3 linked regions of the Drosophila melanogaster genome follow. The protein of the gene in region 1 interacts with the protein of each later gene in a pairwise test. Each region holds a gene or a part of one and is shown on either strand. Other genes may lie near its edges. The genes, in order: CkIIbeta2, CG8128 and CG31688.

The links.
Region 2: the proteins of CkIIbeta2 (region 1) and CG8128 interact in a two-hybrid assay, tested with the Drosophila melanogaster proteins (one large-scale study listed by BioGRID).
Region 3: the proteins of CkIIbeta2 (region 1) and CG31688 interact in a two-hybrid assay, tested with the Drosophila melanogaster proteins (one large-scale study listed by BioGRID).

Annotation. Positions count from the first base shown.
Region 1 is NT_033778.4:20,286,734-20,291,686, reverse strand, and holds CkIIbeta2 (casein kinase II beta2 subunit), read right to left. Parts: upstream 2,143-4,953; 5' UTR 2,009-2,142; coding exon 1,458-2,008; intron 1,364-1,457; coding exon 1,255-1,363; 3' UTR 1,137-1,254; downstream 1-1,136. Other genes in the region: Cpr56F (cuticular protein 56F), read left to right, coding at 2,176-2,823; CG34199 (uncharacterized protein), read right to left, coding at 3,425-3,991, 4,049-4,060; CG16868 (uncharacterized protein), read left to right, coding at 4,953-4,953. UniProt on the Drosophila melanogaster protein: Participates in Wnt signaling. Plays a complex role in regulating the basal catalytic activity of the alpha subunit.
Region 2 is NC_004354.4:15,695,267-15,701,600, reverse strand, and holds CG8128 (uncharacterized protein), read right to left. Parts: upstream 4,108-6,334; 5' UTR 3,938-4,107; intron 3,569-3,937; exon of another isoform or gene 3,279-3,568; 5' UTR 3,081-3,278; coding exon 2,914-3,080; intron 2,842-2,913; coding exon 2,720-2,841; intron 2,440-2,719; coding exon 1,736-2,439; 3' UTR 1,567-1,735; downstream 1-1,566. Other genes in the region: CG9240 (uncharacterized protein), read left to right, coding at 514-612, 794-1,195.
Region 3 is NT_033779.5:20,426,156-20,432,608, forward strand, and holds the start of CG31688 (uncharacterized protein), read left to right. Parts: upstream 1-2,869; 5' UTR 2,870-3,006; intron 3,007-5,768; 5' UTR 5,769-6,345; coding exon 6,346-6,453.

The sequences.
Region 1 (4,953 bases):
TATAAAACTTGAATAGCTATAAAGATCATTCAATATAGGTCCTTTATTAGATACAGTTTCGACCTTTTGTTAAATTTTCAAAGGATATTGAAGTTTGCTGTAGCTAACATACAAACAACGTTGGGTTACAAAATCTTAGAATGATCAAATAAACATCACAATATTTGCCCATATCTTTTTCTGCATTGCAAAGGTGCTAAAATATGTTCGAATTTTGTATTCATTTTTCTGTATCCAATCAATAGCCCTCATTTAAAATCGTTTTTGGCAATAGATCGATCAATCAATTAAACAACTCATCAAACTAATGAAGCTTTCATTGTCTCACATAGCACTTAATCAGCTAATCGGAAGGAAAAGACATGAAATATTAATATTTGAGCCATATTAAAAGTCAAGTTCAGCTGGGTGATTAATCAAGCGGAGATCCGCATAATAAATTTCATAAGTTGCCATCATCATCGCAGTTAAGATTACCATCAATTTGTTTAGGATAGCTACTGTTTTTTATGGTAGGTTGCGGAATTAGAACACCGATATCATTCGCCTGGGAAACAATTGCAACCAGCGATCCCAGTTCATTTCTAGGGTGTGGGTAACAAACAGAAGCAACAACAGCTGCCGCTGCTTGGGGTCATTTTGCAATGAATAAATTAGAGAAACTTTAAGTGGCGGAAGAAGAACTACTGGACATGCCCAAGTAAGGCAGTCTGGAGATGACCAGGCGGCGATAAAAAAAAAATACAGACAAAAGCGCAGCCAAAAAGCATAGCATTTTAACGCCAATGAAGCATGAAAGTCATTGACGGCCCTGTGCCTAAACACTCGGCCAGAAGATCTTTTGCACAAGATTCGGAAATAAGTTGTGTAAGAGTGAGCCGAAGTGGTTCTCCCACAGGTTGTCCGCGCCACACGGCGAATACTTAAGATTCAGACGCATTGCGCAAGATCACGAGATTAGCCCTTCACTTGCAGCCCAGCTAAATCCAATCCAATCCGATGGGAGCTTCACCTGGGACCCAATTACTACAGATTTGCATATGCCTCAGCTAAATGCTGTAAAGATGGGAAAGACAAAGCCAATTCTGGGCCTGCTCGCAGGCCATCAAATCCAAACAAAAGATTGTCAAGCGGGTCACAGCCTGAGCAGTTATTGTTATGAGAGTTTAATGAGCTGGCAGCCAGCCGGGCGAACAGTGCCCACTTATTCGAGAAGTACGCGACAGTTGCTTATGAGAAATTTTAGCTTTAGGATCAAATGTGGGATGGGCTATCGATTTCTCCTACTGGCGTCATTGTCACATCTTTTTGGATCTCAGCGGCAGTACGGTAGGCCGTGGGGTGGATTTTAAAGCCATAAAGCCTGGGAAAACATAGTTACATTAGTTATACATTATTAGTAACTACCTTAAAAACATAGGGAAATAGAAGGAAACACAGGAAACGGAAGATCTAACCTGGGCACAAACTTCTGCTTTGCCCGCTTGGGCCTAGCATCCGGTTTCTCCATAAAGAACATATGAGGGAATCCAGTGCCAAAGAAGGCTCCATCCAGATTCGAATGTCTCGACGCCTTGGGAATGTACACATCATTGCACTTGGGGCAATAGATGCGTACCATATCCTCGCCAGGATTATCACTCAAACCAATGGGCAGCACCGGCTGGCTATGGCAGAATGCACGTGGACATGTGCCGAATTCGCCCTTGTTGTACTTGTCCAACATCAGTTCGATGCCCCTGTTGGTTAGGATAAAGCGAGCATGGATCAAGCCATACAGTTTCTCTGCACTAGCCTCCAGTTCTGGTTCAGCGGGGTCTTCCGAAGCTGAACCCGGATTAAGATCCAGGATCACCTCCAAGGCACATTTGTAGTTCTTAACGTTCGAATCAAGAAAGTTAAGGTTAAACTTGTCCTGGATATATTCCTCATCCACCTCGCAAAAGAATTCGTTGCCACGCTGCTTGCAAAACCAATGAATCCAGGAAGATTCGTCCGAATCGGTCATAGCTGCTTCTTTTAAGCTTTAATTTAATCAGTCAAAATCACGAGAGCTTAACAATAGGACTTATTTAATTTCGAATGACAGCTGTCAGGGACGGAGTGTTCAATCAAGGGTTGTCAACTCAAAACGAAAACTGTAATGTAAATGCAACCCTGAATTTTCATTCCCAGGCTTTTACATCCATTGCCCTGCTCGTGTGCCTGGCTGCCTGGACCCATGCGGAACCACCAGTTCCCCAGAACCAGTACCTGCCCCCCAATCAGTCGCCTCAGGCGCCGTCCAACAACTACCTGCCGCCCACGCAGGGCTACCAGTCGCCGTCGAGCAACTACTTGCCACCCCAGCGGGCCGGTGGCAATGGAGGAGCGCCCAGCAACAGCTATGGCGCCCCCATCGCTCCTCCCCAGGGTCAATATGGTGCTCCAGCGCTGACTGGTGCCATCTTCAAGGGCGGAAACGGAAACGGAAACGGCGGCTATGGCGGCGGTAATGGCAACGGCAACGGCTACGGACAACGGGATGAGGAGCAGTATGGACCGGCCAAGTACGAGTTCAAGTACGACGTACAGGACTACGAGTCGGGCAATGACTTCGGCCACATGGAGTCCCGCGATGGTGATCTTGCTGTGGGCCGCTACTACGTCCTGCTGCCCGATGGACGCAAACAGATTGTTGAGTACGAGGCCGACCAGAATGGATACCGCCCAACCATTCGGTACGAGCAGGTCGGCAATGGCAACGGAAACGGCAATGGCAATGGTCGCAACGGTGGCGGTTATGATAGCAACGCGCAGCAGGGCAAATTCAACGGCTACTAAGATGGGGAAGTGAGGATACCCGATTTAGGTCGACCCCGCAACTATACTCGTCTACTTCATGGGATCGCTGGCCGAGTATTAAACGCACATCCAGCCAGTGGGCCAGCGATCGCAGTCAGTCTATCCATATAACCCTATTCCCATCTCTGTGCATACCCTTAGTGGGACGCCCGCCATTTTGCCATAGACAGGCGCGTTCCTTTCCGTTTCCGTTTCACTGCTGTTCGTTATCCTGTTTTCCGTCTCTACACCTGGAACTCCTTGCCGTTTTGTTTTGTTTAAGCGCCTTCATTTTGTGTTAGTCTACGCACACACTCCAACACACCATTCACCCACAACATGACCATTACGCATTCATACATACATGCATAAGGATTGTATTTAGTTTTTAAACGAAAATGGAAATTCGAAAGTGAAACGAACTTATGAGATTTTTGTGTATATTTAATAATTATTAAATGAATAAAGAAGCATTTTTGTATAAAACAAAGTCAAAAAGAAAAACCAAACTGTTTTTATAATTAACAAGATAATTCATTCTGAGAATTGAATACATTGCACAACTCTATTTTACATATTCAAATAGCTATATCCAAATTGCCTACTTCAGGACCCGCTCCAGTTGTCCCTGTCTGTTGTATCGATACACAGGATCCTTGAGTTGCCCCACAGTGGAGTAAGTCAACTGAGCCGTAAAATCATCTGCATCTGCATCTGCGTTTTGCTGGGAGCTGAAAGAAACTCTTTGTAGTTTATTGTCCTGCGAAATGACGAAGTAACGTCCCTCTCTGATTTTGGGCTGCTGATTGTCTACGATATTTTTTGCAGTAACTGGCTCCTCATCATCAGGATAAATGATTTTAAATTTCGGATCTGCCGGACCGTACTTGTTGGACGGTCGTGAGGTGGGCAAAATCTCTTCCTCGGGTATATCCAGTTGATTTGGAGGCAAATAATTTGGCTGGGGCTTTTCCACTGGATCGAACTGGTCCACTCGTGCCTTTGTGATTTCTACTCCCTGACTTGATCGGATAGCAGGCACATACTCGTTGGGTAAGTTGAATGGAATCTGCGGATGCCAACCAGTTGGTGCATAAGGTGCTATACGTCCACCGGTAAAATCCACTTCAGCTTGTACAATGGCCACAAATGGCAGCAGTAGAAGCAACTTTAGGAATGCCAAAAAGATTTACGTAAAAATGTTTATTAAATAGCCACATCATACCTTTGTCACCATTTTAATGAACGGCTCGATTGAAACTGCGGTGCAATATTTGGGATTTGCTCATTTTTATATTAAACAATTGGAACCATTGCAATATTTATCATGCCGGACACGCACCTTGTTCGTCTGACACCAATTGGACTGCATCTGTTCCATCTTCGGACTACATAGTCACGTATCCAGCCGACAAAAATAAAAAAGAATCAAATGCACACAACCTTGACAACGGATGAGCGAATAATTGGCAAAGGCTCAACTTTGGTTTTGCTTTTAGATGCACATAAAAAGTGAAAGTGTTATAAGAGCATTAATTTGCAAAATAATTTATAGAAAATCTAACTAAGAATACATTTCAATGTAATTATTATTTATTTAAGTGCGTATGCATTTCAAGAATATTGAATAAATGCAACTTATAAAACGCTTAGCAATTTACAATTTTCGAAAATACGTTATTTCTAGGGTAACCACATTTTAACTGTAAAGTCGTATGCAGCCACACTGCTGTGTCGTGCATTTTTGTATCTTCCGCATGCTGCCCTATAATCTACGACATACGGTCACACTGCGCATGTGGAACTTTAAGAAAATCTGCAAAACATTGACAAAATTATTAAATTTAATAGCTTAATCGGACGAATAAGAGTGTATTTATGTTGATTAGTTGTTGTCTCTGAGCCAGTGGGCAATGTACACGTGCTTACTATGCCTAAAACCGAGGAATCAGCGAGATTTATGTGACGAAATTCCGTAAACAAATCAGCGTGCAGCTCGAGAAGAACCTGGTAATACAGAATTCCTTAAGAGGAAACCACTCAAGCTAACATTTCATTGTCTTCCAGATATGCGGTAAATTCAATAGTATGCCCCAGTGGCCACGGAGTCCGCCGGAACCACAAAAACCA
Region 2 (6,334 bases), on another chromosome or scaffold:
GTGTCTATTTCCAGGATTTATCTCACTGTGCACGTTTTGGGTTTGACTAACCACCTTGTCCCAGCAACTCTCTCAATGTAACTAATGTATTTCTAATCGTAAGTTAAAGAATGTAATTGGAGACCTGCATGAAATATATACGACAAATGGATGTTAGATGTATTTGAAACATTAACATATATGTACCATACATGCCAGGCCTGGCAGACTTAGTCAAAATTGAAAAGTGAAAATAAATATATGTGGTTCTATGCGCTAAATTTTAGTTTAACCTTTTGGGCCATCGATTTTTGAAATTTGCGCCACACAAAATTTATCGTTAGACATCAAAATTATCGTTGGCACATCCCTGGCTGGCCGCTCAGCTGCGCCGCCTGTGCAGCCCTGATTTTTACACAACATAAACATTCGATTTTGGAGGAGCTCTTTTTTCGAGAGAATACCAGGTCGTTGGACACGGGAGATGCTCTGATTAGGGGCGCATGTGGAGCAGCCAACGCCGGAATCGCCGACATGAAAATCCTCTCCCGTCTGGGTCGCCTGATGCGCTACACGGTGGCCTACGCGGCAATCACACACTGCACCTTCGAGTACATTGGCGATTTCGTCCTGGTAAGGCGTCTAGGATGAAGTTCCTGGGCGGGTATACTTGCCCAACATGTGCCAGCATCACATAGTTCGTGTGAATGCATTAAGGTACTCTCCACTTGTTTTTCCACCTTGTGTAACTTCCACTTGATATCCTTCTTTTGCGGAAAAGTACGTACACTCACATTAATGCAACCATTTCCAGTGCAAAGGACCCTCCATGGAGCCCACCCTGCACTCGGACAACGTTCTTCTCACCGAGCGCTTGTCGAAACACTGGCGAACCTACCAGCCCGGCGACATAGTCATCGCCATATCGCCCATCAAAGCCGATCAGTTCATTTGCAAGCGTATCGTGGCCGTTTCCGGTGATCAGGTGCTAATCCAGAAGCCCATTCCCATTGAGGCGGAGTTTAGTGGTAATTCGGATGACAAGAAGAAGCCCGTGATGGTCAAGGACTATGTGCCGCGCGGACACGTTTGGATTGAGGGTGACAACAAGGGAAACAGCTCGGATTCCCGCTACTACGGACCCATTCCGGTGGGCCTCATCCGGAGCCGCGTGCTCTGCCGCATCTGGCCGATATCCGAGGCCACGGGTCTATAGATGGCATTCGTACAACAAAGAGTTTAAAATCAACTTGACCCAATAAATGGCCTATGTTTCGTTTGGAAATTATAGTACATCAAACCACAACTTTTTAGAATCATTACGTATGCGAGTTTCGTCTCATTTGTGCGACTTCTGGTTTTTGCATATCATTGAAAATAAGTTGAAAAAAACAGGAGAGAATAATAATTTCTTTTCATTTTTGTTTTTAATAAACATATTTTTCAAAGTATGAAGCTTACATCCTTAATCCTTATTGGCTTACCTTCTAAGGAAGTATTTACCATGTTTGGGCGTCATATTCAAAATAATGCCATATTTTAAATTATTGGCGTTTCTAAAAATGGTATCAAAAGAAAAGCTTTTGTAAAAGGCTGTGTGAGCTTTAATTGATATATGCATATAATTATATACAAAAAAATTCATTTATTGACTACATTGTGAACATTTGAATGCGCAGTTGTGATGCTGCTGGCTTTTGGAAGAAAGGACTTTATAAAAATTGCACTAAGGATTTGGCCATTGCACCGACAAGTCTCACGAATTCTTTTTATCCTGCTGCTCCTGTGGCTGCTCCCGATCCACGTAATACAGATTGTATTTCTTCTTTAGCACCTGATGCACTTCGTCGCGACAGGTGAGGGTCAGGCCGCGCTTCTGGTAGTCCAAAAAGGTGCAGACGAACTGCCTGTTCGTCTCGTGGACCTGCGGATGCTTCAGATACTCCGCGATGGGCATCCACTGGATGCGCGCTATCTCGCGTTCGCAGCGCGTAAAGTCCAAATTCAGTGGCTTTAGGGCGATGACCACGTACATGTCGGAGCAGCCGAAGGTGCCGCCATGGGCATGCCGCAGACTGACCACTGAGCGGAATTCGGTGCGGATTCCCGTCTCCTCGGCCACCTCTCGTATTGCCGCATCGATGAGATTCTCCCGCGGCTCCACATAGCCGCCGGGCAGCTTCCAGCTGTTTGGTATCATTGCAAAACGATCGGACACCACCAGCACCTCGTCCTGTTCGTTGATAACCAGTCCGCCGACGCCCATTAGCGTGTGGGCGTAGGTGGGTAGGTTGCTAGACTCGTGCTCCGGCAACCAGCGGTACATGACCACCACACCGGTCTTGGCATGATGGAAATCAAAGCCGTTCTCCGCCAGAATGGGCACCCAATCAGCCTGCTCCTTGTACACGCGGAACCAAATGGCCCGGTTCTTGTTCGTCGTCCAAAAGTCCAGGGATTCTAAAAGGTATTTCGTTATTAATATAATTTGGTAATTGGTGACACAGATTTAATTAAAATTATAAGCCGTTTATTGTCTATGACTATTTATAGTCATAGACAACTTTTAAATTGATAAAAGTGGAGAGCAATGATTTTGGAAATTTAATTTAGTACCCCAACTTTAGATAGATAAACTTTTAATCAACTTATGATAGCACGAAGACTTAGAAGATACAATGATACAAAAAATATACGTCCAGGCAAAGATACCGACATATTTTAAGATATATATTCTTACTTGTGAGCTTGTCCCGGAAACTGGATTTGTCCACGTTCTCCTCGCGCCCATCGACTGTTACTCCGGCAAATCGATCCGTAATGCCGCGGAATACATCCGCCGGCGTGTCCATGGTTTTGGAGCTAAATCGTGGGATACAAATAGTTTTCAATCATGTGTTAAATACATATGTATGTACATCTTTCAATTCTTACGACGAGTATGCTCTTGTAAATTGCTGCTGTGACTGAAGCTTTAATGGAACTCTGGCGGCAACCGTGGATGTGGGTCGTTTTCTAGCGGTCCGGAGGAGTGTGCTCCATGAATTGAACGCCGGCTGGTTAAGTACGGTTCTGCGAGCCAGAAAACCGGTGGCCAACATTAAATAATCTCACAGTTCGACGAACACAACGTTGTTGATGACGACGACGGCGATCGACCACGTTGGCGTCACTACTAGTTCGCAACCGGAGATCTGGGTGCTGTCCGCTTGGTGGGCGTGGCGGAGGCGGTGGCGGCGACAACGACTTTACCGTCTCAGTTTATCCACAATGCGAGGTGAAGCCAATTCCTGGGCATGCTGTGTGTGTGTGTGAAACGAGGCAAACAGACAGGTGAAAGAGGTGAAATAGCCGCATGGCTCCAAACAACGATGCAAATCTGCTGCGATGGGCGGAGCAGAGCGAGACGGAGGAGCAGGTTGCCACTATCTGCCGCCGTCGCTAGATAAGCGATATGGCCGCTGTTACGTTCGGATTTCTGTTCTTGACATTTCGAATTTGGCGCTAACGTCAGTAACAAATAGTGGCGATAGAGATGCGCAGAACAGTGTGACTTTGACAGAAAACCGGTGACATGAGTATAATGAAACTAAAATATAGATTCAACTGAAAGTATCACTATATATGTACATATATATAAAAAACTGTGTTATCACTATACTAATACTAATACTAATATTAATGGCAATCACGATAGCAGTCACTGCTTCCTGCTCATCTCTAGCGCAACCTTGAGCGACAACCCAAGGTGCGTGTGGGTGGTGGGTGGCGGTGTTGGGGTGTGGGGTCGTTTCAATTGTTTCCGCATGGGTTTTGTGTTTGTTTATCAACTGAATTGCTGCTGTTATCAACGCGCCAGAGAATTGATACGCGTTTTACATAACAAACCAAGCCAAATATATTTTTTTTTATTCCATATCTGCGCTAGAATAGAACATTGTGTGGAACTCGAACTCACTAGAAAAGTCAATGGCTAATGGTGTCACTGAGCCAATCCGTCCAGTTCCTCCAGACGACTAATTACAGATCCGATCCAATGTAGCCATGGACTTTGGCATAAACAAGCGAATAGAGCAGCGCGCGATTTCAATTCGCTTCCACTTCCACTAGCACGTTAATTTCTAGGGATGGCGCGCACACAGAAAAGTCAGTCAGCTGATCCGGCAGTGCTGCCAGCCTGGCTAGAAAAAGCTGTTCAGCCTTATATGTAATGGTTAAAAATCAAATATGAGCAAACCAACATTTTTTAAATATATGGCCTCCGGAACAATTTATTAAATCTTGAAATAGCTAATATGGGTTATATAAGTTACTGGCTAGCGGCTTGGCTAATATATCGAATGTTTCCATCCTTTAGATGGCCAAAAGAGCTTAAGTTCGCTGGTCGTCGGCTTCGTTGCGGGAAAATTCGCTGCTGTCATCGCTATTTATCGCGCTCTTGGTATGCGTGCAGTCCTTCCTACAATAATATAGTAATAGTCACAGTCAATGCCAGGAAGGACAATGCTGCATAAGTAGTAGCATAAGTAATGATTAATTCAATTGGGAAATTTTTGATGAGTACGCAAAACATCTAACGCTATTCTAATAAGAAATGCGACCAGCTTTAGAATTAACATTCTGATTAGCAGAGGGTTGAAGTCGTTCTTAAAGACGGCTAAAAGTAGACTACAAAATATTTAAATGCAAGAGGAATTCAATAATCCTAGAACTTAAACTAAGCTTTTCAAATTTGAATGGAAATGTGGAATAAATACCGTATATGTAGCATTCGATGCCGATCTCCTAGTCTCTATCTCTAATCGGTTCGACGTGGCCACGTTCGGCCAGATGCAGCAGATCCTCGATGCCCTGCCTGCGGAGCATGCGGCGATGATTCTTGAAGAACGATATCACCTTCTTGGACTGTGGAGCCCGCATCCGTCTCTTGACCGTCATCGTTGGTCATCTTGGAGCTACTGTTCCATTTTTAATTTTTTCGCCTTTTTACTTTACTTGAATACGAAAAGAAACATATCTGTATAAATCGTTTTAATAGGCCAATAGGTGCCTTCAAATTCTATAGTTGAGATCCTTTGAAACTTTATTTTCATATATAACTAAATATCCTCTTTGGCTGCGCGCCCAGTTTGGCCCATTTCTCTCCTCTTCACTTATTTTATTTTATTTAATTTGATTTTTTTTTTTTGAAATCGAAATAGTTGCGCAATTGAGGGCGAGTCCTTTGTGCGAGTCCAGTGATTTGGAAAGGGCTATTTAGAGCAACAAAGCGCCAGCGACCAGGAATCCTGGGGAATCAGGAACCAGTTAGCAGTTTAGAGCGCGATTGAAGGGATTACGAGTAGAAAGGATCGTAAATGTGTTGCGAAATGCACATTTAAACCGTGACTCACCAGGGGGGTGGTAGTTGTGTGTGTGTGGGGGGGGGAGGTGTGTGTGTGTGTGTGTGGTGGTATGTCCTTGTGCCATAAATTCAGGTGCTTCAGTTGGACAACAATGGTACTCGTTGAGTTTCGCCTGATGTTTGTATTTTGATTGCCGGCTTAGCAATTTTCAATTTCTTTTTGTTTTTTGGGGGGGAAATTCCCAAAAAAAAAAAAATATGCGAAGAGGGAGTACATAAAAAAGTTACCCCTCTCCAGCGGGCGATATTTGCTCAGTTGTTTAAACAAATTTTCCGCTTAGGGTTGCTAACCAACCTCCTGTTTGCACACAATGGATTTCCATGCCGTGGCTTAAGTGAAAATGCCATCTCAAATATTTATTAAAAAATCTATGGCTGTTTGGGGACACGTACATATACACACATATATATATATATATATATCTATTTTCCATCGCCGGCTTATCGAAAACTTCAACTCCAATGTCGAAGTTGGTGGAAAATCGGGGTTATTAGGTTCCCAGGCGCGATCTTCGTCAACCCTTTTCTTTGTATTTCCTTCACTATTTTGCGCGCACCCGGAAAATTCTTGTTTGTAATTAGGGAGTTTTCCTTATCATTTATACCCGTAATGCCCTCGGCATTCAGCATTGTTTCGCCGCCAATTAAGCGTAATTTCAAGTGTCCCGTTCTCGTATTTGTCTAATAAAAGTTTGAAAAACTCCTAGGAAAACTGGTTGGGTTCGCTAACGAACTGTTTATATTCAGACAATGGTTTGGAAATTGAAATAAATTAACGTCGATTTTTCCCCATTTCCAGTCGGTGGGTGTGTGCCTTTGCCAGCTGAAGGCATCAGGTTTTTCTTTTTATTTTTTCTTTTTTTTTTGTCACAGTGCATAAGCTTTATTCGAATGAGTAAACGGGTAATGAGTAATATTTTTTTGTTGGATTTTTCACTGAAGGCGTGACAA
Region 3 (6,453 bases), on another chromosome or scaffold:
CACCTACTCATTCAACAAAATGTGTGCTGTGTGCTATCCCGAATCAGTTTCAGTTCAGGCTCTCGTTCGGTGGCACATCGGTGGCGCTCGTCGCAGAAAAGGCATGCAGAGAAAATTTAGAAAGTAGTTGCTGAAAAAAGCAGAGCGCAGCCAACCCAAGCAGAGGAACACTGGGGGAAAATCGAAACCGAGGGGCGATTATATTGCGAATCGGATGGATCATATATCCGCGCTGTGGCATTATCCTTCGGATCGAATCGAGGCGAAATCGAATTGAGTCGGGCTCGGGCCAGTGCCAGTGTGTGTGTGCTAGTGAGTGCCAGTTCCGAGTGTGTGTGAGTGTGCGGAGTACATATGTAATAGGGCCATGAAGTTTTATTGAAAAACGAGGCAGAGACAAGGCGAAAGGCCATAAGAATTGGGCCCGCAGCCCCCCGGAAGACCCCGACACGCCCCTTCGCAAGGAGTCGCTGTGTAGCTGTGAAAAAAGCGTGCCCCATGCAGCAGAACTGTGCCCATGTGGCTCCGAATGGGAGGAGTCGCCCATTTGGTAACGGTAACGTCGTGCAGCTGAAAAATTCCCAATCAGAAATCTGTTGAACGAAAATCGAAGAGGGTCGAGTAAAAACCTATATGTACATACATACATACATATATGCATATGCATATGCATATGCACCTCCAATAGTCGCGTATAAAATAAATCAGAAAGTACAACAAATTGCTCAACTTGCTGTGTGCGAAAAATCGGGCCAAAATGTGCGAGCGTGTGCGTAAAGTGCGTGGGTGTGTGTGAAAGGTGTAAAAAATGTACATTCTGTGAATTGGCCACATAAAAAAAAGAGGAAAAAGAAAAGGAAAACGAATACGAGTAACGAGTGTAACGACAGACGTTATATTCGGAGGCGATTCGTAGTTCTTGTTTTTGTTGCCACTTCGTTGTTTGCCCGCAAGAGGAAGGCAACAACTTAGGCCCCAAAATGCCCAGAGATCTCGACTCCGGCTCCAGTTCCAAGACCGATTCCATAACCGATTCCGTCTCCGCTTCCGGCACCAACTCCGGCGAATCCGGGGTTGGCAATAGCTATATTCCCGGGCAGCAGCAGCAGCGTCAGCACCTCCACCAGCCTACTTCGCGCCCACCCACGCTGTGAATCCCCACAAATCTGACTCAGATTCAGATTTAGATAGCGATTCAGATTCAGATACAGATTCAGACAAAGATCAAAGTCCAAGAATCTCCAGCACCTACCTGCAAGCGCCACTGCAATTAGACGCATATTATCCACAAATCAATATTAATCACCAAATCAGCAAAGTAAGCACCGCTTTTCGTTTGTTCGAGCCACACACGCCAAACATAAAGCCAATCAAAACCCATAGAATGCACATACGAGCGCTTTTGTTTTGACCGCCAAACGTTGCACGCCTATCGCCGCCAAATAATCGATATTCGATTGGTAGCGCTTCGAAGGGGTGTAGCTAGCCATGCAATGCGGTTTCCTCCTCGTGAGGTCTAATTATTGAGTATTTACCATTATTTAAGTTGCATTATTTTGATTTTTCTTGAATTTTAAATGCATTGCAAAATTATCGCAAAGTCCACGATAGTTTCGATAGGTTTTTGCTTATCAGAAGGCCAACAAAGTTCGGTTTAACCAGCAGAACCAGGCATATAATATATAATATCCAACTCTTTTATTTGTAAGTGCTTGATTACAGTTTATATGTGGGCTTAAAAATAGAATACTAAACCTAAATGTAAATTAGAAAAATGTGGTACCTTTTTGTTGCTTAAGCTTTCTGATTTTGTAAATGGAAATAATCTTCTATATTGTTATAGTATATAATGTGTTTTAACTAAAGAATTAAGTAGTAGAAGTGAAAGATTTTATATTTCATTAATTCTGTTCAATAATGCCACCTATGCTGATTTCAACTAGGGATTACTTAAAAATATTAAACTACTACTCAAGTTGGACATGCTATGCGATTTTATTTGGCCTAATGGACTTTGGTGTAGATAATGTGTTTTTTAAGTATTGCTCTTGATTATAAGCGTTTTCATGGTTAAATGCTTTTAAACAATTCGTTTAATTTGCAACTGAACTTTAAAATTAAAAATAAATTTACAATTCCACTAGTCAAACACTGGATTTTTCACTTGATCTTATACCTTAGCTTAATAGCATGCAATTTTACGACTAATTTTTGATGGAATCCACTTTAATTTGGAATACATTTCTGCGGCAATAACAAGTTTAAAATAGGCGTCTAGGGCAATTTTCTCTGTATTTCGCACTTTTCGCAGAGTGGCGTCGAACCAAGAAGGCTGTTCGAGTAATGTTTGAATGAAAAACGTGAATGTACTCTTCGCTTGTGTTGGTGTCCACGAATGGAGAACGTGTGTGTATGGGTATGACGTGACGTCACATCATAGGAAGATAATTACTGTAAAAATTGTGTGTTAAGGCATAAAAACAAAATATTAAAAAAGAAAATGCATACTCTTTTAATTATAGTCAATATGATGCAAATTATTTTTGAAATCGAAACAATTTGTGGAACTGAAATCATTTACGAGAATATAAAAATATTTCCTAATTGAAGTTAGCTTGCTGTTAAGTTTCGTTACTAAACTTTAGCTAATTAAAAATACCGCACGGCTTACGATGTTTAAATTAAATACCGAAAAGATTGTGAAAAGCGCGCGAAGGTGAATTTCGTGGTACGGACCCTATATCTGTGCTCCTCTAACGCAAGCGTCGCTTACGGGCGACCCAAACGAGCAGCATCGTGCCGTTGCCTCGCACACTTCACCTCGGGATCCAATCAGATGTTCAGTGCCAACTCGAACGAACGCGTCGAACCAAAGTGACAGCGCTGTGTGTTCGACGTCGGATGTCGTGGGCTCTATAAAGTTTACTCTCCCCACAAGTCAGTGAATGCGGTTGAAATCAGTCGTAAAATACAACAAAGGCAGCGCAGCAGTCTCGCAAATTAAATGTAATTAAGTGCATTTAAGTTTTATACCTACGTGCTTCGATTCCCAATTTTCCTGTCAACAAAGCGCCGAAAACCCCGTGCTACCCAAAATCGCGGCTGTTCTCGCTCCTCTTGTTTTAGGGAATTTCGCGTGTGCTGTCATCGGAATATTCATTGTGTTGCTGCGCGTGTGTTTGTGCGGAGAGCGTGGTAGAAGCTCCACCACATTTGTTATGTCAATAATTAGCAGCCCCAAAAACGAAGCCAGAAATGCGTTGAGGTTGAGGCGTTGATCAAATGGGAAGCACTCCCGGCTTGCCCCGCTTTTCCCGCTCTGTAAATCGCCAAAAAAACTGCGCTTGGCCATCACGTGGAGAATTGATTTTTTGCCAAAAAACGCGACGACTTCATGTGTTCTTTCTTTCCTTTTGTTGGGAAATCCAATGGGAGAGCGGGCTCTGTTTTCCAGTCCAATTGGATTATGCCCGGCCGGGCTTTGTCCAATTGCCAGATTCTTGTTGGCGCTGCTGTCTCCTCTTTTTGAATTACATTAAATATTTAAAGCATATGCAAATTTGAACAGTGGCCCCGTAAAAGGAATAAAGGACCTTTACCTGGCCGCGTCCTCAACGTGCATCCCCCCTCCCCCCCGTGGTTCTTGTTCTTCTTCCTCGGCTCCTCCTGTATCTGTAGTTGTTGTGGTTGTTTTAGTTGCTGCTGTGAACCAGATGACACGCCTTCGGTTTCCCAGTTCCCTGTTTGGTCTGCCAGAGATGAGAGCGAACTAATCTCTTTCCAAATATATTATATTTAAAACCCCTTTCTATTTAAGACAGTTTATTCTTAAATATCAAAATAACCATATGTTATATATTTTAACTGGTAGTTTGATTGCGAATCTTGTTCTTTTCAGTTTATATTTTAAGTAAATACAAATCAAGGCATCTGAACCAACCAATGCCACCCGTCTTCTCTGGAATCTAATTTCAATTCTTTTAACAAAAATTCTGAAGAATGCCTGCCAAATCCCGATATGGTAACAACTTAGCTTCGCCCGGGGCTCATCTCTATTTGGCGGCCTTTCTTCGGGCTTCCAGCGCCTTTAGTGTCGTGCAAATCGTTTTTGTGGTAAGGGGTAACCCTTCTTTTTTCGGGGGTCTGTGGGCCTGGGCCTTTTCTTTTTGCACTTCCTCGTTTTTAGTGTTTTACTGCTTACCCAAATGCCGACACCCGAAATCACTCACACTCGTCGTGGTTTTCCTTTGCAGCAGCTGTGGCTTCCATCTCCGTGCTCCCATTTTCCACGCCTTCTCCGTTTTCCCCGATTCAAATGCATTTCGATTGCTTCGTTATGTGAGTGCACTCAACTTGGGAGCTGCGTGTGTGTGAGTGAGTGTGTGTGTGTGTGGAGGAAGAGGGATTCGTAAACAGTGTTTTCCTTGATGCCATGTGTCTGTAATGCAACGGTTGTCTATCCTGCGCCGTCTCGTGTCTTTTCCTAGCTGCTGTTTCCATTTCGCACGAACGCTTTCCCGGCCCAACAGTTCCATGTCCTTGTCACCCCTCAAAAGCCGCCCAAACACCCAACCACCCAACTGCCCCTTGCCCCGCCCCCTTTTGGCCCACTTGGGCGACACGTGCTCATTATGCCGCTTCAAATTTTACTCCACTTTCCGACTGTCGCTGCCGTGCGACTCCTTCTGCGGATGTTCCTTGAAACAACAGTTTGCTTAAGCTATACGATCCAAAATCAAAAGGGTGAATTTTTTAAGCCTACATTTAGCTACATTTATCCTTGATCAACAGGATATAGGCATGTCCATCTGTTGTCCGTCCGTAAGTTCGTCCGTTTCAACGCAATCAAGTCTCTCCCTCTTAAAACTACAATATCTTAATGAAACTTTACCAAAAATTGTTTAAAAATAAAAAGAAAAAATCAAAAATGAATTGGATTAAAATCGGACGAATATAACATATAGCTGCTATAGGAAGAGTGGGAATATTAATTGAAAATATTAGAAAATAAATCATATCTTCGTTGTTTTTCACCATAAATACTTCTCTACTTTTGGCTTAAATTATTAACTTACATAAATACACATTTTGTTTAATGTACAAAATGCCAGCCAAATCAACCAGCCATTTGGAGCAATACAATCAAAGCACGCTATTATGGCCCGTGACCAAATGTTGGAAGGGTCACCTCTACTACCTCTGGCTCATTGATAACCATAACAATCTTGTTTGCTGTTTGCACTTGGCAATTAAAAACTTGTTGATTGTGGGCGCTCCAGTGCTCGTACTCTGGGTGGTGGTACTCTAGTGGCAACTACCCACAATATGGGATGATTCCACACAGCCAAACTGCAGCAGCCGCCCAAGCACTAATATTTGATTTATGTGAGCTAGTCCATGGTCTGTGGAGCCATAAAAGGTTGTTTAGGGAGATGAGATGATCGCCCTTGGGGCTGACTGGTCAGTAAAGACCACTAAGACCACTTCCATTTAGTTGCTTATTAACGCTTGGATACTTACAACCGTGTATGATTAATAGCACTTGTTCGCCAAAGACTTGCACACTTATTTATTTTGATTTTTCAACCCTTTTCTGTACTTAAAATAGCTTAACTACTTAGAATAGATATATATATATATTTAAGTTCTCTTTCGTAAACTGCTATGTGCTTTAGTATAAGTATTGTATGATGATACCTGTCCAATACCATGGTACAATATCTAACCAATAATTCTCTATATATATCTCTCTCTCTTTTGTTTTGCAGTTGCTGATAACGTATACAAGTGGCAATAACAGAATAAATTAAGCCGGAAAAAAGGTCGAAAGGCCAAAAGTGAAATCCAATCCGGTGTGAAAACCAGTGCAAAAGTCAACAACTTGTGGGAGTCGAGCGTTCGTCCTCGAGTCCTTGAATCCTGCCAGTGTGCTCAGTGCTTTAAGTGTGCCAAGTGTGCGTCTGCGTGTGCGTGAGCGTGAGCCTGTGAGTGCGTCCGGGTAGCGGAGAAGCCACAACGTCGTCCACAAAACCATCGACGTCCACAGCCGCCGCCGCCGCTGCTGCTGCTGCCGCCGCTGCAGGTTCGGGATCGGGACAAGGTTCGGGAGCGGGTGCGGTATCAGGAACTGCTCCAGGCCACCAGAGGAGCGGCGGACGAAGCGGCCAGCGACGTCGCAGTAGCAGCGGTAATCCACACGCCGGCACAACGAAAGCGACCAGTGGCAGCGGTGGAGCTGGCAGCGCCGGCGGAGGAGGAGGCGGCGGCGGCGGCAGCGGTGGAGGCGGGGTCAAGCAGAGCGTCAGCCGGAACAGCAACATCCGGAGCAGCAGCTCCAACAGCACCATGGCCTCTGCCAACCATCGCGGTGGCGGCGGACGCGGTGGAGGTGGCGCTGTCGCCGGTGCCGGAGCGGATGGCAATGCAATCGTGGGCCTGCAGATCGGCTCCGCC